Rhinolophus ferrumequinum: one gene and its partner. The protein of the gene in region 1 interacts with the protein of each later gene in a biochemical or structural test. Links are inferred from orthologs where the notes say so. Each region holds a gene or a part of one and is shown on either strand. Other genes may lie near its edges.

Evidence for each region.
Region 2: the proteins of SH2D1B (region 1) and SLAMF1 interact in a test that uses a peptide from one of them, tested with the Homo sapiens proteins (2 studies listed by BioGRID). The link is inferred for Rhinolophus ferrumequinum from reciprocal best matches to the Homo sapiens genes SH2D1B and SLAMF1.

Annotation. Positions count from the first base shown.
Region 1 is NC_046305.1:2,823,158-2,832,012, reverse strand, and holds the start of SH2D1B (SH2 domain-containing protein 1B), read left to right. Parts: upstream 1-4,704; 5' UTR 4,705-4,781; coding exon 4,782-4,915; intron 4,916-8,855. UniProt on the Homo sapiens protein: Cytoplasmic adapter regulating receptors of the signaling lymphocytic activation molecule (SLAM) family such as CD84, SLAMF1, LY9 and CD244. In SLAM signaling seems to cooperate with SH2D1A/SAP.
Region 2 is NC_046305.1:27,931,386-27,940,240, forward strand, and holds the start of SLAMF1 (signaling lymphocytic activation molecule), read left to right. Parts: upstream 1-2,527; 5' UTR 2,528-2,570; intron 2,571-8,855.

The DNA of each region.
Region 1 (8,855 bases):
TCTGAGCCCAAACTGTTAACACGTTATGTTCCCTCTCCTACCAATGTCCCCGTCCCACTGAAGGAACTCCGAGGTGGTCACCGTGGGACTGCATCACACCATGCCCAAGCAAGGGACTGTGGGCGTGGCCGAGGCCCCTGATTTGGGGAATCTTGTCATCTGAAGCCGCTACTTCTTTGCTGTGTTACTATGGCCACAGGCCACTTCCATGCTTTCACAGACCTAAATCAGACTGCTATGGGCAAGGTCGGAAATAAAGGAAGTCACAGAGAAAAAAGGCATGTGGTGGCCTGGACAGGAAATGGTAGCGGATCATACAGCCTGATAGAACATCCGGAAAACAGCAGACAAAACACCGCAGTGGGACTCGTGCGTGGTGGACACTCTGCCTTTACAGTCGGTCGAGTCAGAGTGGAGGCGACATTAGGGCTTGCAAGGGGTCCACGGGCAGGGTGAGGGAGGGCGCTTTCTACAGCCACCGGAAGGCTGCAGTGAGGAGAACCCCACCTGAGCCAACTTGGCACGTGGCCTCACTGAGGGGACCGTGGCAACTGAAGAAGTCAGTGACAGAGGCCCTAAGAGGTCTTTGGAAAGTCTCCAGATTCTAGAAAATGAGACTTACATTTCATACAAGTTCACTGTGGAAAACTGAAACAAAATCCAGAGGTATACAGAAGAAAGCAGAAACCCTCTAAACTCATGCCATGCATAAGTGATCCTTGGGACTATTTCGGCAAAATTCTTTCTAGACTTCTCCCTGTGCATTGACATACACACGCAAGCATTGCACACTTACAAACACACAACCACACTCGTGCACAGATTACATTTTTGAAAATTTGCCCACTATCTCTTTATGTTAAATTCCTAAAAATAGCATTGTTTGGTCAAAGACCTGTACATTTAAAACTTTGACATGCATTTATAAAAAATTATCCTGCCCTCCAAACACTGGGCCAATTTACCAGGTGGAAATTTTTTAAAGTATTCCTTACGGACGTGGGTTTCCTCGCTTGTGTCATGTCACGAATATACAAATGACTGGAAAGTGAGTCCACTCGCATCACCAGCACTCAGCCAGGAAGTGGAAGTTACCAGCACTGGGCCCCTCCCAACGAACCACGCGCTCCCCCCACAAAGGTAACCAGGGGCCCCCCTCCAACGCCACAGTCCGTTGTGTCCACATCGGAACTTCACGCAGTGAGCACTGAGCAGCCCCCAGTGTGGGGCAGCTGCAGCCCCTTCTAGTTCACGGCCACATGGACCCACAGTGTGATTGCACGTTTCACAGACAACACACTTGAAATGTTCTGTGGAGAGTGAGGTGATTCTTCCTGACTCCAGTGCTGGGGGTGGGGGGCCCCACCCTAAGCTGTGTCAGTCACACACCCCTGTGAGGAATGGCAATTGTCTCTCGATCTGTGAGCCTTGCGGGTGCATGTGTGCAAGCATGTGTGTGTGTGTGCATGCGTGTGTTTGCGTGTGTATGCATGTGAGTGTGTGCGTGTGCATGCGTGTGTGTGCGCGTGTGCTGGGCGGGATTGCGTCCTTTTCTTGGTATCCCCAGACACTTTCTTTCATTTATTTTTTCGTTTTTTGTTCTTTGGGTTTTTTTTTGTATCTCCATGGGAGGATGGATGTAAATATATATTTTCAAATCACTGTCATGGGTTTTTTCGGGTAAATACCCAGAAGCGGAATTGCTCTATTTTTAATTTTTTGAGGAACCTCTATACCAATTTACATTGCCACCAACAGTGCACAGGATTCCTTTTTCTCCACAGCCTCTCCGGCACTTGTTATCTTCTGTCTTTTTAAGGACAACCATTCTGAACATGTGAGATGACACCTCACTGTGGTTTTTTTCACTTGCATGTCCCTGAGACCCAAGGTCATTGAGCAGGTTTCTGTCTGTCTGTTGTCAATCTGTATATCTTGTTTGCAAATATGTCTATTCAGGTGCTTTCCCCATTTTAAAATTGGATTCTTTGGGGTTGTTTTGCTAGCGAGTGGTGTGTCTTTACACATGTGGATATTAACCTCACATGTGGATATCAAATGTGGTTTGCAGAACAGCTCGCCCACTCTGTAGGTGGCCTTAGCAGGCTGTTTCCTGACGTTTCTCTCCATGAGTCACCTGCATTCTTCATTTTATGGACAAGTTCTCTCCCTTCTACAGGCTGTTGGGCAGGTTATGGCCACCAGTTCACAGCACAAAAATACACCTATTTACAGGCATTCCTAGAGAACTCATCTCCATTCATATTTCCTCCTCCCACCCCAGTCAGTCCTCTGTGCCCTCTCTTTCTTCTTTTCCTCATTTCCTTCCAATTCCTCGGTAAGGGTCTCTGATTAGCCCATCTCAGGTCAGGGCCTACCCTTGGCCTCCCAGAACGTTCCATCTGGGACGTTACTATTTCAAGGTGTGTCTCTAGAACAGTGAGATTTGAGTACCAGCTGACACACGTCCTACGGAATGTCCCAGACCTGGATGTGTCTGTCTCGTGACAGTCCCATAAGACTTAGTGATACAGCCTTGACTCATTTCTGGTCCTGCTGTTTGGGGCCCACCTCAGAGGGATCCTCTGTGCTTCCTGCTGCATCCAAGTCTGGCTGTCCCCCTCTGGGACAGGCTAAGTCTGATCAGTGGGTTCAGGTGGTGACAGTTTGACCTCTCACTGGTAAAGGTCATTATCAAACTTGCCTAAAGTTTTCACCCACTGACTGTTTTTGCCCGAATTATTCCTTTCAGGAGGTGTTACAACACGGACTTGAGAGGGTTCTGTCAGTGAGTAAACACATGTCACTTTGCTAGACTGTCCTCCTTCCCAGTGTCACCATTTTACACTCCAATCAATGATGCATGAGACGTTATTACCCTAGTTCACCCCAGCATGGCCAACCCACTGTGTCCAAACTTGATTTTCACCAATGTGTAGGTGAGAGATGTTATCTCAGAGTGGAATCAACGTGCGTCACTCATGATGAGTGAGGAGAGGCGGGTAGGTTTTTAAATGTATAAAAAGGCAGGAAAACCCCTGTGATAATGAACAGACTCCCAATTACTTCCTCCTTTCTGTAACTAGTAGCCTTACACCAAGCTTGGTACTCAAGCAAGTTTCCTCTTTCAGCATTAAACGTTCTCTCCTTGACTGTCTTTATTCCCGAGAAATTAGGTAGCAAATTGCCCCAGGCTGCTCGAGAGAAATTGGGATTTGAAAGTATCTCTCTTGATTGTGTCACTGCATGCCGCTCCATGACACCAACGGCAGAGCAGGGGGACTTCCCCTGGAGAACACAAGTGTGTGGGCTGCAAGGAAGTCCAGTGGCAGCCAGACCTCACGGTGGCGATCAGGACAGCTGACACCGTCGCCTCGGCTAAAGTAAGGAAGGGCCGTGAACACAGGTTTGAATTGCCATGGGACGTACCTGAGATACGGAGCCACTCCCACAGATATGTGACTAAGGCAGCAGGACAGGAAGAGAAATTCCATTCCGTTTATACCAGTTGACACTGGATTACAGATACGCTTACATGGCTTATTTATGTGAAATTACTTAACCATTGATTAATGACTCAATCATCTGTGGGATGGTTTGGTTGCTCAAAGGAAATGGGGAGATGGGGGTGAAAGGGCATAAGCTCCTGTGGCCAAACGAGAACGCGCGGGGATGTCGTGTCCTGCATGGCGACTAGTCAGCACTGCCCTGCTGCTTGAGAGTTGCCAAGTGGGTAGGACTCCGTGTGCCCCCCCACAGAACGAAATGGCAATTACGGGACGTGATGGAGTGTTCACTGGCCTGTGGTGGGAGATCGAGTTATCAGGTCGTACGCCTTGAACTACACAACCTTATATGTCGATTAGGTCTCAGCCAAGCTGGGGGAAGGCCTGAGAAATTGCCCTCAGGGCCGCTCTGACCCTCAGGTAACAGGATCCAGCTTTCCCACGGTATCAGCCGATCAAGGTGGAAAGAGATTTCCTCATCAACAGCAGTGTGTCTAAAGGGGGTCAAGTGTCTCTGGCCGGATGATGCTTCCTGGTCTCTCTTCATGGGGACACGTCACTGCTTTGCACACCCACGTGTCCCTCCCACCTGCGCCTGCTACTTGTCCCCAAAACGCAAAGCTGAGGATGCTGAAACTGGCCTTGTTCACCTGTGGCAAGGAGCCTGAGGCAGGGGTGGGCCGTCGCCCCATGGAGTCCCACTGCGTCCTCCCCCACTGATGTCTTCCATTCCTCGTGACCTTTGACCCGTGGGAGTCCTAGCCTTTTCTGTCCCAGTGAGTCTGCACGTACCTGGGCCCTCGCAGCCTCTGAACACTTTCTGAGCGCCCGTTCTAAGCTGAGCACAGACCAACAACTCCAGCAGAAAATGGCATTCTTTAGAGCATGAGCAGTGCTGTGTTCCCGGAAGGGCCACCAGGAGCCAGAGCAGGTGACGCCTGGTGACTTCGGGTGCTGCAGCAGGCTCTGGGGAGCGTGACTGCTCCATGGCAGCCCCAGGGGAGCCCCATGTTCTCTAGAGTCTCAAGCACACTGTCGCCCACAGGTATAAGTCACACTTCGGCCGAGTACAGCCAAAATGGCTTGGTCACATACCACCTCCACCCTTCGCATTTCCTGCTCTTGCGAAATGCGTGGAGTCCACAGACCAGCCTCAAGTCACGCCCACTGGCTGGAGCAGGAAGGGGTATCTCCATTTGGCCAGCTGCCTCTGCGTCTCTCCTCAGAGCCACCCCTGACTCTGGCCTGAGTCCTAGGGCCACAGGGCGCGTCCCCATGGATCTGCCTTACTACCACGGCCCTCTGTCCAAGACTGACTGTGAGAGTTTGCTGCTCAGGGAAGGGGTGGACGGCAATTTCCTGTTACGGGACAGCGAGTCGGTGCCCGGGGCTCTGTGCCTCTGCGTCTGGTGAGTAGCCTCGCCTACCACACATTTCAAACCTTACATGAGGGTAGTAACGATAACCAAACAGAAAGGAAGCCATATTTCACTCTGACGTTGCAGCCCTGCGAGCAGAGGGAGACAAGGGGGGACCCAAGACAGCGGGGAGGATCGCGACTGTCCTCATCCTCAGCACGCCCTGCTCTCCCTGGTGCCACGGCCACACGAGCAGACTGTGTGCGGCCGCAGAAGTGGGGTGCTAGGGAACCTGCAGGAAGCCTGGGAGGTGAGGGGACACCCCTAGTTAGCCTTGCAACCAAGGTGCTCTCCTGCAGAGTCTGTTTATTTGGTTAAGAAAAAGGCCAGGGGTCCTTTGTGAAAAGTCTACCTGAGAGACCAAGTTTTTACACGGATTCTGTGGGCTCCACTTGCAATCCTTCAAATGCTAATAACAGTTCAATTCTGCTAGATTGGTAAAGGGCTGTGGCTTACGCCGTTCCCTCTCACCCATCTTGTCTGCCGAAGCAGCATAGGCCAGCACCGTGTACAGATGGAGAAACAGAGACGTGGGTTTCTCACTCAGTTTGTTTGTGTTCAGATTCACCCGGCGGTTCCAGAGTCTGGCTGACTTCAGGGTGAAGTTCCAGGCCAGAGTCAGCCCAGGGCCCCGTGAAGGCACCTGATCAGCCTGAGAAATAGCACCCCAGAGGTGTCAGTGGGGCCTAATACCTTTCAGTACTCTCCACATTGGGGGGACCACTGAACTTCTTCTGTTCGTTATAGGAATGAAAACCCAGTGCATGCATGCATGCTCCAGTGTTTCTCAGGACGAGGGAGTTAGGAGGACAGAAGTGACAGCACAGGTGGGGGTGGAGGGCACCCCCTCTTTATACGCTGCAACACAGGCATGAGAAATGCAGCCCTAAGGTGCTAGCAGTTTGCATTTTCAAGCTATGGGTAATACTGACAGTGATTTCATCAAATTTTCTTACTCAAAAGAGGGTAATTCTTCTTTTGAGATTTGTGCAATCACATCCCTTCCCCTCTTTTAGCTTTGGTTGTCTGTCTTCTGTTTTACCGATTTATTTCCAGTTTCTATGTATGAAGGTAAAACATTTTTTTGCCAAAAGGACAGATGCACAAACGATAACTACAGACCAATTTCAATTTCATTTAGTATCAGTTTTCAATAACCTACTAATCAAATTGAAGCCAGTAACATGTAAAATACATTCAAGTATGGTCCAATCTAAGACATCAAGGATGGTTCCCTGTCAGGAAAATTATTAGTTTAGAGTTTATTAATTAGAGTTTTAAAAAAATCAGTAGAAAATTAGGTAAAGTATAAGAGGAGGCAATTATCTGAAACAGAAGTGTGGAGAAGACATGAGAAATTGCCAGATCTCGCTTATAAGTAAAGAAGTACAAATGAACAGAATAACAGGACACCCTTTTTACGCTCAATGGGCAAGAATCAAAACTATGGAAATGCCCGAGGAAGTCAGAGTGGGGACAGCAACTCCGTGGTTACATGGCAAAAGCATAAAATGCCTGGATCAAACCTTTGGCCCCAAATTTCACTAATAAAAACCTATCTCCTAGTTAGTGTCCACTGCAAACCAAAATCCAGTAGGTATTCCATCAATAAAAAGGATTTATTCAGGAAAAAGAAAGGATTGCAGCCCGGTGCATGTTGACATGGACAGTCAGGTGAGGTTTCTGCTGGGGAGATGGAAAAGGTCTTTACAAAGGGGACACTCGGGGGACAGGACACTCAGGAGAGGGGCCAGAACCACAGGTCCCTGGTCAGCATAGTGTTCCTGCAGGGCTCTTATGATGACAGGGAGTGGGGTCCCCTCCCAGACACCCTCCCGATTCTCTCCAGGTTAGGATCACACAAGTATGTGCAAATCGACACTGACAAGACTGGATAAATCCATACCCGGTATGAGAAAACCGCCTGATCTATTGTTATGTGAAAAAAGGCAGGATGCAAAGTATGATTCCATTTGTGTGTTTGTTTTTTTTTAAAAAAGGATGCCTCTCTCCTTGAATATGCATATAAAATTTCTAGACGGTATATAACTTATCATCGTGGTTACAGCTGGGACATCTAGGAGGAGTGAGTAGGGAAAAGGGTATGGGGTTATTCTTTTCATGTGATGACTTCTTTCCACTGTTTGAATGTTTTACGTGCATGTGTTACTTTTGTAATTTCAAAAAATGTTTATAAAAATGCAGTGACGGTGATGGAAGGGGAGCTGACTCTGGGTGGTGAACACACAGTGTGATTTATGGATGATGTGATTCAGAATTGCACAACTGAAATCTTTGTAATTCTACTAACAATTGTCACCCCAATAAATTAAAAAAAAAAAAAAAAAAAAAAATGCAGTGAATTCTACTGCCTATTCCAACCCTGGGCTAGGGCCTGGGCAGAGTCTAAGGAGAGTCCGACATGTTCTAAATAAACAGAGCGAGGTCAAGTATAAATTCCAAAATAGACAGTTGTGTTCAAATTCAAGGACAGAGATGAGCAGAAAAGCCTCCAGAGGAGGTGTGATGAGCTGGGGCTTGACTGGGTAAGATTCGGTGACCTGGAAACGGGGTGCATGGGACTCTAGGGGGCAACGCAGGGATGGGTCTAGAAGACGGGTACTTTAAGGCACAGGCGACTCATGCAGGGTCCTGGGAAGGTCGTTTGGAAACCCACTTTGGGAAAAGTAGATTTGGGATATTATTATGGCGGCTTAACAGGAGGATTCCGTAGACAACGGGGAAACCTGGCTGGTTTCTGAGCAGGGACGTGTCAAGACTGGTGCTGAGTTCTAGGCACGCGAATCTGATTTGGAGAATGTACTGAAGGCAGGTGATGGCAGGAGCTGGTGAGGAACGGGCTGTGGTGACAAGCTTTCCACAGCCACGGGAAAGCTGCAGTGAGGAGAACCCCACCTGAGCCGACTTGGCACGTGGCCTCACTGAGGGGACAACGGCAATGAAAAGGACGAGAGGGAGAGACGCTGGGAGTTCCTGCTTTCAGATTCTGAGATCTTTGGACTCGAGTTCAGAAAGGAAAAAAATAATTCAGACTTTTTGGTTGTTTCTAAAACTCCAATGTGGAGAAAAGTGTGAAAAAGAAAGCAGAATGACCTGAGTTTTCAGTACTGAGAAATGAGTGTGTCTGGTCTGGGCACACACACGTCTGCAGACCCCTCTCCATGAGGGTACACACAGAAGAAAACGTGTAGGTAAGTGTTCATTCAACACGACCGTTTGCAACCTGCTCCTTTCAGGGTTTTAGACAGCCGACACTTCATTCTGTCTCAACGCTCAGTGTTTTACTGACAGGGTATATCATAACTTACACATAATCATTCCCTCGGGTTATTTCCAACGGACCCAAGGGAACTTGAGAATATTAGCATTTTCACACGCACATCTCTGAAACTTTGCCCGACTCGCTCCTTAGGATAAAATCCTGGCTGTTTTAACACTTTGCCCACATTGACAAACTAGCACAATAAAAGGCTGCACGAGGCCCAAGCCAGTTAAGGTCCGTGAGAAGGCCAGAGTCAGAGGCCTTGGAACGTCCTTCACTGACTTGGGTTCCCCACTGTGGCGGCCCAGAAACAGGCAGACACAGGCCTGACATCACGACAGACTCATTTCCATGTCCTTCAACTGACCTTTGAAGTTTGGTTAAAATCACGCTGCAACTTGAGCATAAACAAGTTTCCCTCCAACGCTGGTCACTGCGTGAGACGTGCGGTAACGTACAGGCTGTTCCTGACCGGAGCTCACAGACCCCGGATGGCGCCGCTGACCCCACCGTTCACCTCTGTTCACCAGGCTACACACGCCTGTTGCAAAGAGAAACTCAGAAGATCTGTATTCTAGCCTTTTCAAATGTCAACGGAAAACGTAACGCTGAAGAGGTAAAAACGGTCCTGATCAGCCCTGTGTTTGT
Region 2 (8,855 bases), about 25 Mb from region 1:
AAGTTTCCATGAATAACTACCTACAGCCTCTACTTATTACCGTGTTTCCCCGAAAATAAGACCTAGTTGGACCATCAGCTCTAATGCGTCTTTTGGAGCAAATATCAATATGAGACCCAGTCTTATATTATATAACACCTGGTCAGTCTTATATTATATAACACCTGGTCTTATATTATATAAGACCCGGTCTTATATTAAAATAAGACCGGGTCTTAAATTGATTTTTGCTCCAAAAGACACATTAGAGCTGATGGTCCAGCTAGGTCTTATTTTCGGGGAAACACGGTAATAAGTAGAGGCTATAGGTTGGCTGTGGCTCTGCAGGGTTCTGAACCACAAATATCTTTCCATTCCAGTTCCCAGGCAACCTTTCTCCGTTGTGCTATACTCCTGCAGAGGGCAGGAATACAGAGCAGAAGGATCTTTTTTCAAATACAGGTTTGTGACATTTCCATGCTTAGAATCTTCAAAGGTGGGCTCCTTAGATGGCCTGAGGGCTACTACTGATCCCTGTGTGACTCAGCTTCTGTGGATTTTTCCTGCCTAATTTCTAGGTTGGCCCCTCCCTTGAAGCAAATGCTGCAACCTTCCTGAACTACTTGCAGTTCCCCAAACTCACCCAGTGCTTTTGCTCAAGCTTTTGCACTTCCTGGAATCATCCCTCCTTCTCCTTGTCTGCCTAACAAACTCCTACTCATGTGTCAAGATTCAAACCAATTGTTGCTTCTCCAAAGCCCCGAAACCACTTCTTAGGGATGAGTCTTTCTCCCTCCCCCATATATAACCTCTTTCCATCCCCTATGTAATAGAGATGATTATTACAGAGAAAGTTTGGAAATCATCAGCAGGGAAGCCCACAAAAATTGGCATTTCCCCATATTTTTTTTTCTTTTTTTTTCTATTTTATTATTTTTTCTGGTACTTATTTTTTTCTTTCGCACATACCCCTCCATCATTTTGTCAGTTTTTCTTACAACTTCATATCCTATTATAGAATTAGCTGTATCAATATTAGTTTGGTGCAAAAGTAGTTGTGGTTTAAAAGGTTAAAAATAATTGCAAAAACCAATTACTTTTGCAAAAACCTAATAGCATTAAAACTTGATTTTCGGAGACCAAGCACTATTATTTGATCTGCACTCATAAGTGGTTTGCCTTCAGGCACTCTGGAACTCTATAAGGGTGGCAATAATGATGATACCCATATTTTTTTCAATCTTGGAAGACCAAGAAAGGAAAGTGACATGCCCAAGTACACGTAACAAATTCCCAGCAGACTTGAGGCTGGAAGTCAAAGATGCTTTCTCCTTCCTTTGGGACTTGCTGATAACCTCTCTGAGGCTTGACCATGTGGTCTCCTGGATTCTTGCAAACCCTAGACCACTGAATTTTGAATGGCCTGCTAAGATGACAACATCGAAGGGCTTGTTGGCACCCATATTAAGCACTGGAATGAGCATATTTGGTCTTCAAGCTTATACCTAACATCTGGAACCACAATGGAAACCTCTGGAAGGCTGCATGATATAAGGGAAAGAGAATAATCTTTGGAGCCAGACAGTCTTGAGCTTGAGTTTCAAACCCACCAATTACCAGTTTTAGAAAAGTAAACTGTCTAGTCTCAGTTTTCCATATGAAAGAAGTGGATGATCTTTTTTCTTTTCTGTTTCAGGTGCACAAAACAATGTAATAGTTAGACATCTACACCCCTCACAAAGTGATAGCCCCACTCCCCCAATCTACTACCCCTCTGACATCATATATAGTGCTTACGATTCCATTGACTCTATTCCCTATGCCATACTCCACATCCTGTGATATATATATATTCATTATTATTCGGCTTCATCTTCAGGTGTACATTGCAGTCGTCAGGCACCTACACCATCCATGAAGTGGTCTCTCTAATAAGACATGTGCCATCTGACACCCTACAAAATCTTTACATTATCGATTATATTCCCCAAACTGTTTTTCATATCCCCGTGGCCATCTTGAGGTTACCAATTGGTGCTTCCTAATCCCCTCAGCTTCTCCCTCATCCCCCCCACATCTAGCAACCCTCAGTTTTTTCTCTATATCTCTAAGACTGTTTCTGATTAGTTTGCTTATTTATTCTATTCTTTAGATTCCACATGTAAGTGAGATCATATGGTATTGGTCTTCTTTGTCTGACTTGTTTCACTTAGCGTAATGAAAAAGTGGATGATGTTTTCAATCAGGATTAAATAAAATAGCCTCAGTAAATCATCCAGCACAAGGTCTGGTATGCAGTAAATACTCAATAAGTATTAGTTGGCTTCTTCTGTCTTATACTGTCCCCCCTTTCTCCTAGGCTTAGGACTTTAATTTGACTGAATCAAGACAGTCAAATTAGGTTTAGAGACCTCTTAACCTAAGCTTCTCAAGAGTAAAATAAGAAGGAATTGATTATATGATCTCTGTGTCCTAAATAATACCTTCTTTCTATTCTTCTTGCTTTTATTAATCTTCCCATTCAGGTGTGTGGACTCAGCACAAAGACTGCCCTTGGATGAGATCTGCACAACAGACGTTTTGCTGTCAGAGTATGTAGAGAGGTATTGGGAAATACCTGAGTAAATGCAAATTTGGAGGCTAAACAGTACTTCTCTGGGTCTGATGATTTCCAAGATGCTGCGGAGATATAATTTCAGTGATGATGTAGAGAGGAGAGGACAGCCCTACCTCAAAGAATGGTTGTAATTTGTATGTTCATTCCACAAACATTTTTAACACCTACTGTATGTCAGGTATTGTTAGATTGGGGAAACATGAATATAAATAGAGCAAAATGAAAGTCAGTCAAGGGATAGGTATACTGACCTAAAACCCAAGAGACCTGGTTTCTGGTCATGGCTTCACAAAAACTGTTTCAGGTAGCCTCTGGCAATTCCCTCAGAGGTGTTAACCTCTAAGTCTCAGCTTTCTGAGGGTGAGATGAGGGAGTTAGAGAGGTGGCTTCTAAGATTTTTTTGTTTTTCATTTTCTCCAGATTATACCACTTGTCTGAAATTCAGCTCTATATAATCAAGTAGTACTTGGAAATCTCCATCTGGATGTACCATAAATATGCCAAATAAACATATTCCAAAACCAAAAACTAATCTCACACCCTTGCTCCCAATTTTGTTTCAAATTTCTCTACCTCCTATACTTCCTATCACAGAGAATGGCATTGCTATATGCCTGGAGGCTATACCATAAGTCCAAAGGCCTTTGTATATAGGCCTCTCTCCTTCATACCGCACATCCAATCAGTTGCAAAACGCTGCCAAATCCACATATGAAATAAGTCTTCAATGGATCTCTTTCTCTCCCACCTAATTACCACTTCCTCAGTGGAGACTATCATTTCTTCTAATCATCTCCCAGCCTCTAGTTTTACCTAAATCTCTCCCACAATGTGGCCAAAATAATCTTTTTTTGGGGAACAGTTTGTTTTTCCAGGACCTATCAGCTCCAAGTCAAGCCGTTGTTTTCAATCTAGGTGTGGAGGGCGCAGCTCACTGGCCCATGTGGGAAACAAACCAGCAACCTTGTGTTAAGAGCTCACACATCTAACCAACTGAGCCAACCGGCTGCCCATGGGCAGCTCAGCTCCAAGTCAAGCTATTGTTCTCATCCTGGTTGTAGAGGGTGCAGTTCACTGGCACAGGTGGGAATCGAATTTATGATGTTGGTGTTATGAGCACCGCGCTCTAACCAACTGAGCCAACGAGCTGCCCCCAAAATAATCTTTCTAAAGAAGAAATTTGATCAGGTCACTTACCTGCTTAAAACTTTTGGTGAATCCTATCAATAGAATGAACAACTATCCTAGGATATATTTAACTACTTGTATGTGAAAAGTTTTGATCAGGTGGGAGGAGGAACATTGCCTCCTGTCAGAGGCCTAGGTTTAGTAGGTCCGGTATTCTTAGGAATGAATGAAAGACAAAACAACAAGGAAGAGAAGGGAACTAGAAAATACTGACTGCCCAGGCTATATCATATACTGTACTTTATATACACTATGTTGCTTTAACCCTCAAAAAAATACATGAGATCTCTCAGGTCAGATTCCCCCCAAGATAGACTCTGAGATGAAGATGCATGTGCAGGAAGTTCACTGGGAAGTACTTGTAGAATCAATGCCTGTGGGAAGTAAAACATGTAGGATTGAGCAGAGGGAGAAGTTGTACCCAATACAGTTGCAACAAAGGCCTAGCTGACTCCACAAGGAGCTCTGGAACTGTGATACCCGTTAAGGGTTGCTCCTAGTTGAGGCAAAGTGACTGGACTTTTATATCCTTTCATTAACCAGCTTACCAGTCATTAGATGTGGGTGGCCCTCATGGAAGGAACTGTCTGAGGGCAGCTGCTGAAGAAGGACTCAGCTGAGAGTTGTTAGTCACCAAAGCATCCAGCAACTGGGGCGAGACCGCTATGCTGTTCTGAGATCTGAGCTGCATGTCATGCCATCCACTATACAAGTAACCTGTAATACACTATTTTATAGATAAGAAAACTACGTTTCACCAAAACTGAATTGTCCTACCTGATACAAGTACTGAGTGAAACCTCTGTGGTTCTAATTCATATTTTTCTGACTCCATGAGCCCTTGGCTACATATACTTCTGAAATTAGAAAAAAATTCATTAGCATAAAGTCAAACTTGAACCCTCAGGTGTTTGGATGGTAGTACAAGCTGTCACACACACATAAATCCTTAGAGGAAGAATTAGAGCTGAGCAGTAGTTTGGTCAAGTATTTAAGGTCCTACAAGAGATTTCTGAGAACAGACAGTGCAAGTATCAGGGCCTGTGGGGCTTCAATGTGAAATTCAGGACAAGGACAGCAAGACCACGCTTAGGGCAGGCTCAGGATGGGTCTTCGTAGAATACTGGCAGCTGCAAAAGCCAGCAAGGCAGCAATCACAGACCTGGCTGGGCCAGTGGCTAGAGTTGGCCCGGGAGTTAGAGATCTCAAAGGGCTGATGGAAATGAGACAGAGGGAAGGGCAGAAAGAGAGAGTCAAAGGTCAAAATGGAGGCAGCTCCTAAGAAGAAGCTAGACAAGAAAGCTGGACAAGAAATAGCAAAGTAAAGAGTCATAGATACTTAATCATGAATGGATTAGGTGGGGCGTGGAGCCCAGAAAGGATGTAATAGAATGAATGCGAAGCACCACAGCTGTTCTCTTCCCCTGGTCTCTACTTCTTGCCCCTGGATATGAGGGGCTCTGACAATGGCTTTGCTACATAGGCGCATGTATTCAAGGCCAGTGTAGCAGGACGTGGTAAAGTTTATATTCCAGTGTTGTCCCTGCTACTTATTTACTGTGTGACTTCAGGTAAATTATTTAACTCTCTAAACCTCAGTTTCCTCATCTGTGAATTGGGGATAATAATTGTAAGGTCTAGACCTGCTGCAGAGCTCATGGGAAAGATAAGCTGTTTCTGTTGTAGAAATCTCATATTCTTCCCCTCCATGACCTAACACACTTGTGTGAGCAAACCAAATTCAGAACCCAGGCTCTTAAAGTTAATTCTTGGATTTTAAAGAGCTAACTAAGCAGCATAGGAAGCAACATGATTATCTATCTTTCTCCTAGTCCTCCATCCCAGTATGGAAGTCTTCCCCAAGTGGAAGAGTGGACACTCTGCAGATGCAGGGGGAATATCTGCAGACGCCTGTTGGAGGGTCTAGCTGGAGCGAAAGCTGAGAAGGACAGATGAGTATCAGGGTGCCAGCTGAGCATGCAGGATTTCATATCCCAAACCTTGGCCCAAATGAGACCAAGGTTTAGCATTTTAATGGCCTTTATCCTGATTGAGTCATCAGAACTGGGAGCTGGGAGCCATCCCTCCTAAAAACAACAAAACAGAACTAGAGGCCTCTGCTTAACTGACTTATTTACTCTTAGAAAAATTTCTTAAGAAGGGACATGCTCTGTTATCTTACTTAACAAAGCAAAATTTAGAAACAGTAAATCTGAAGAAGGAAGCCTGTCTCTGGATATGGTCTATACCTCTTTTACCCCATAAAATGCCTTCTAAAACTTAACATTTTAAACTATCTCATGATCTGCACTTGCTCTGTTTTCAAGGCAAGATAATTAACACAATATTCTTTAAGAAATTTCTGCTCATAAAACTAGACAACAGCATATAATAATAAATTTTTATGTATTACGTTAAATTTTAAAAGTATGGAAGTGTATGCACACCAGTCATTATAGTTACAAATGTGCTTATGGAATGAGTAGCCTATTGAGGCAAGAACATACTTCTTTTAGGCCGCTGTGCAGTGAGGAGCGATGCTTCCACAGCCTCTCCCTGAGTACCAGTATCGTGACTATAATCATTATTGAAATTCACCCCACTACTCATGATGATACCCAGAGGCATTTTTTGACTTAAATTTTATAATACAGCAAAAGAAAAAACTGAGGTGACCAAATCCACCTTACAGAATGAAAACCTTATAGGTATTTTATACAGTCACAGTTAAAACAATCACTGTAACTGCTGTACTGTGTGATTTTCATATTGACTTCAAATCCCTTCACACGTGGATTTTGCGAAACTGAATCAAGTGTGGTTAAGGGTTCACTTCATATTTTCATTCTGTTTCACATTTTCTGTTCTGATTCATATTTTTTTACTGTTCCTGTTCTGTTTTATGTACTGATATTTTTTTCTTTTATGAAATGTGATAGTCTGCTGAGAATTTTTGATTCCTTTATTACAGGGCTTTTAAATATTCATTGCAGAAAATCCACACTCTGTCTTCAATTACTGAAAGTTCTTAATGGCCCATAATGTGCTTTGTCTTTAATTTATGCTACAAAGCTATTGTTGACTCTTAAGGGGAAGCCCAAGAATGATGTTCATATCAGGGGTCCCTGAAGCTTTCTGTTCCTGGTCTCCTAGGACAGTCCTCAATCTTGACTACTTCCTGTACATCACCAGATGCAGCTAAATGAGGTTCATCATTTAATCACTCATGCCTACCTTTAGGAAACCATGAAAATGGTAGACACCAAATGCAAAATGACTACCACATGACAGGCACTGCACTGAACACCTTGCTTGGATTAATGTCATTTAGTTCTCCCAACAACACTGTGAGATGGTTCCTCATCTTAACTGTTATTACTGAGGAAAGAAAGGCTTAGAGAGATTAAATAACTTGCCGAAGGTTGCAAGATTTCATGATTTATAAATAACAGACCTAGGCCTCTCTGACCATAGAGCCAGAGTTCTGAACCGGTCTACTCTAGTGCCTTAAAAAAAAGATTTAGAGGAGATTTGAGAACTTGAAAGCAGTTGTGACAAAAAAAAAAAAAAAGGAAAAGAAAACTACGGAATATTGTTTTGCTTTATTTTTTAAAAATTTCTTCAATGCTGTATTACATTTGCAATTTTGCAAAGAGGGGATGAAACCCTAATATTTAAAAATCCCACTTCCTAAATATCCTGCTCTTAACTAAAAATGATATCTGAGAAGTCATTCACACGGTTGATAATTACGTTAATGCTTGTATGATTACATCATTAAAGGATGTTTAGAGTCATATTTTAACCCAATGGAATGGTTTTCTCATGGTTAGTGCTGGGGAAAGCAAGTGAATAGAGAAGAGGAAGCTATTGGACTTTCTCCATGTGCTTCATTTGGGGCCTCCCTTCCCTCTCCCCCCCCCCCCCAATTTATTGCTTTCTCCAATGATCCAAGCTAGAATTTTTCACTGAAGCTTTCTAGTCTATAGCTTGGTTTACCAAACTACTCAAGTATCTTAGCTTTTTCCCTCTCCCCTAGATTCACTTCATGTCAGCCCACCTCATTGGTGTGATAGGGCAGGAATCCCTGTTCTGGGCTCCATACCTGGTTCATAAGCATCTCAGAGGATCATTGAATGACCTCATGGAGCATGCAGCTCCCACTTCCCCAGCTGTCTCTGTCTCTCAGGGAAGTGATGATTGGTTAGAAACTATTCAGAGAGAAAGGAATGAATCCTGCTCCTCATCTGCCTTTGTAGGAAAAGTGTTCAGAGGACTTGCCAAAGAGCCTTCTAGAACTGCCAAAGAGAAGGCCATAGCTCAAGTTTTGTTTGGACAAACAGGCTGACAGTGGTTGTCCAGGATTTCTAGGATACTTTGAAAATTTTTGTCATAATTATTACTCTAAGAAGGTAGATCAGCACTATGGGAGGCAATGTTTGATGCACAGAAAAGGTTGGAGGCTGATGACTCAACAGCCACTGTAACCGGTTCCTAAACCCTGTTCCTTCCTAGGAGTGGAATGGTACGGGCATTTCTGTCTCTCTAGCAGCTTATGCCAATAGAAAGCAGGCTAGCAAACTACATGGATGCTATATAGGGTAATTTGAGGGGTACTAAGAAGCACCCCTCGCCTCCTCTGCAACCCCACAACCCTACCAAGAATATTTCTCAAAGAGCTCTGGAGACTGCAGGGAAACGGGAAGTTCAGGGTCAATCTAGGGAAGACCCCAGAAGGGGAAAGATCCCCACACATTTGTTCCAAGATCTAGAAGGACAGCAGGAGCATAAGTGGAATTGACAAAGAGTTTGGGGTGAAAATCCTCAGATTACAGATGCCATGGAATCTCTTCTCAACCTCTCCACTTCTGTGCTGTGAACTGGATCTGAACCCTGGAGGAAGCACTGAGGTGGGAATCTTGGTGAAGGCAAGGCACTGTCAGTAGGCATCTTCACAGGCCACACTGGGCCATGCATGCCCCCAACTCCCTTCCCTGGGTCTGGGTTACTCAAATCCATCTGTTCACGAAGGTCACTTGATGGCATGATGTTGGGTAAAGATGTTGAGTAC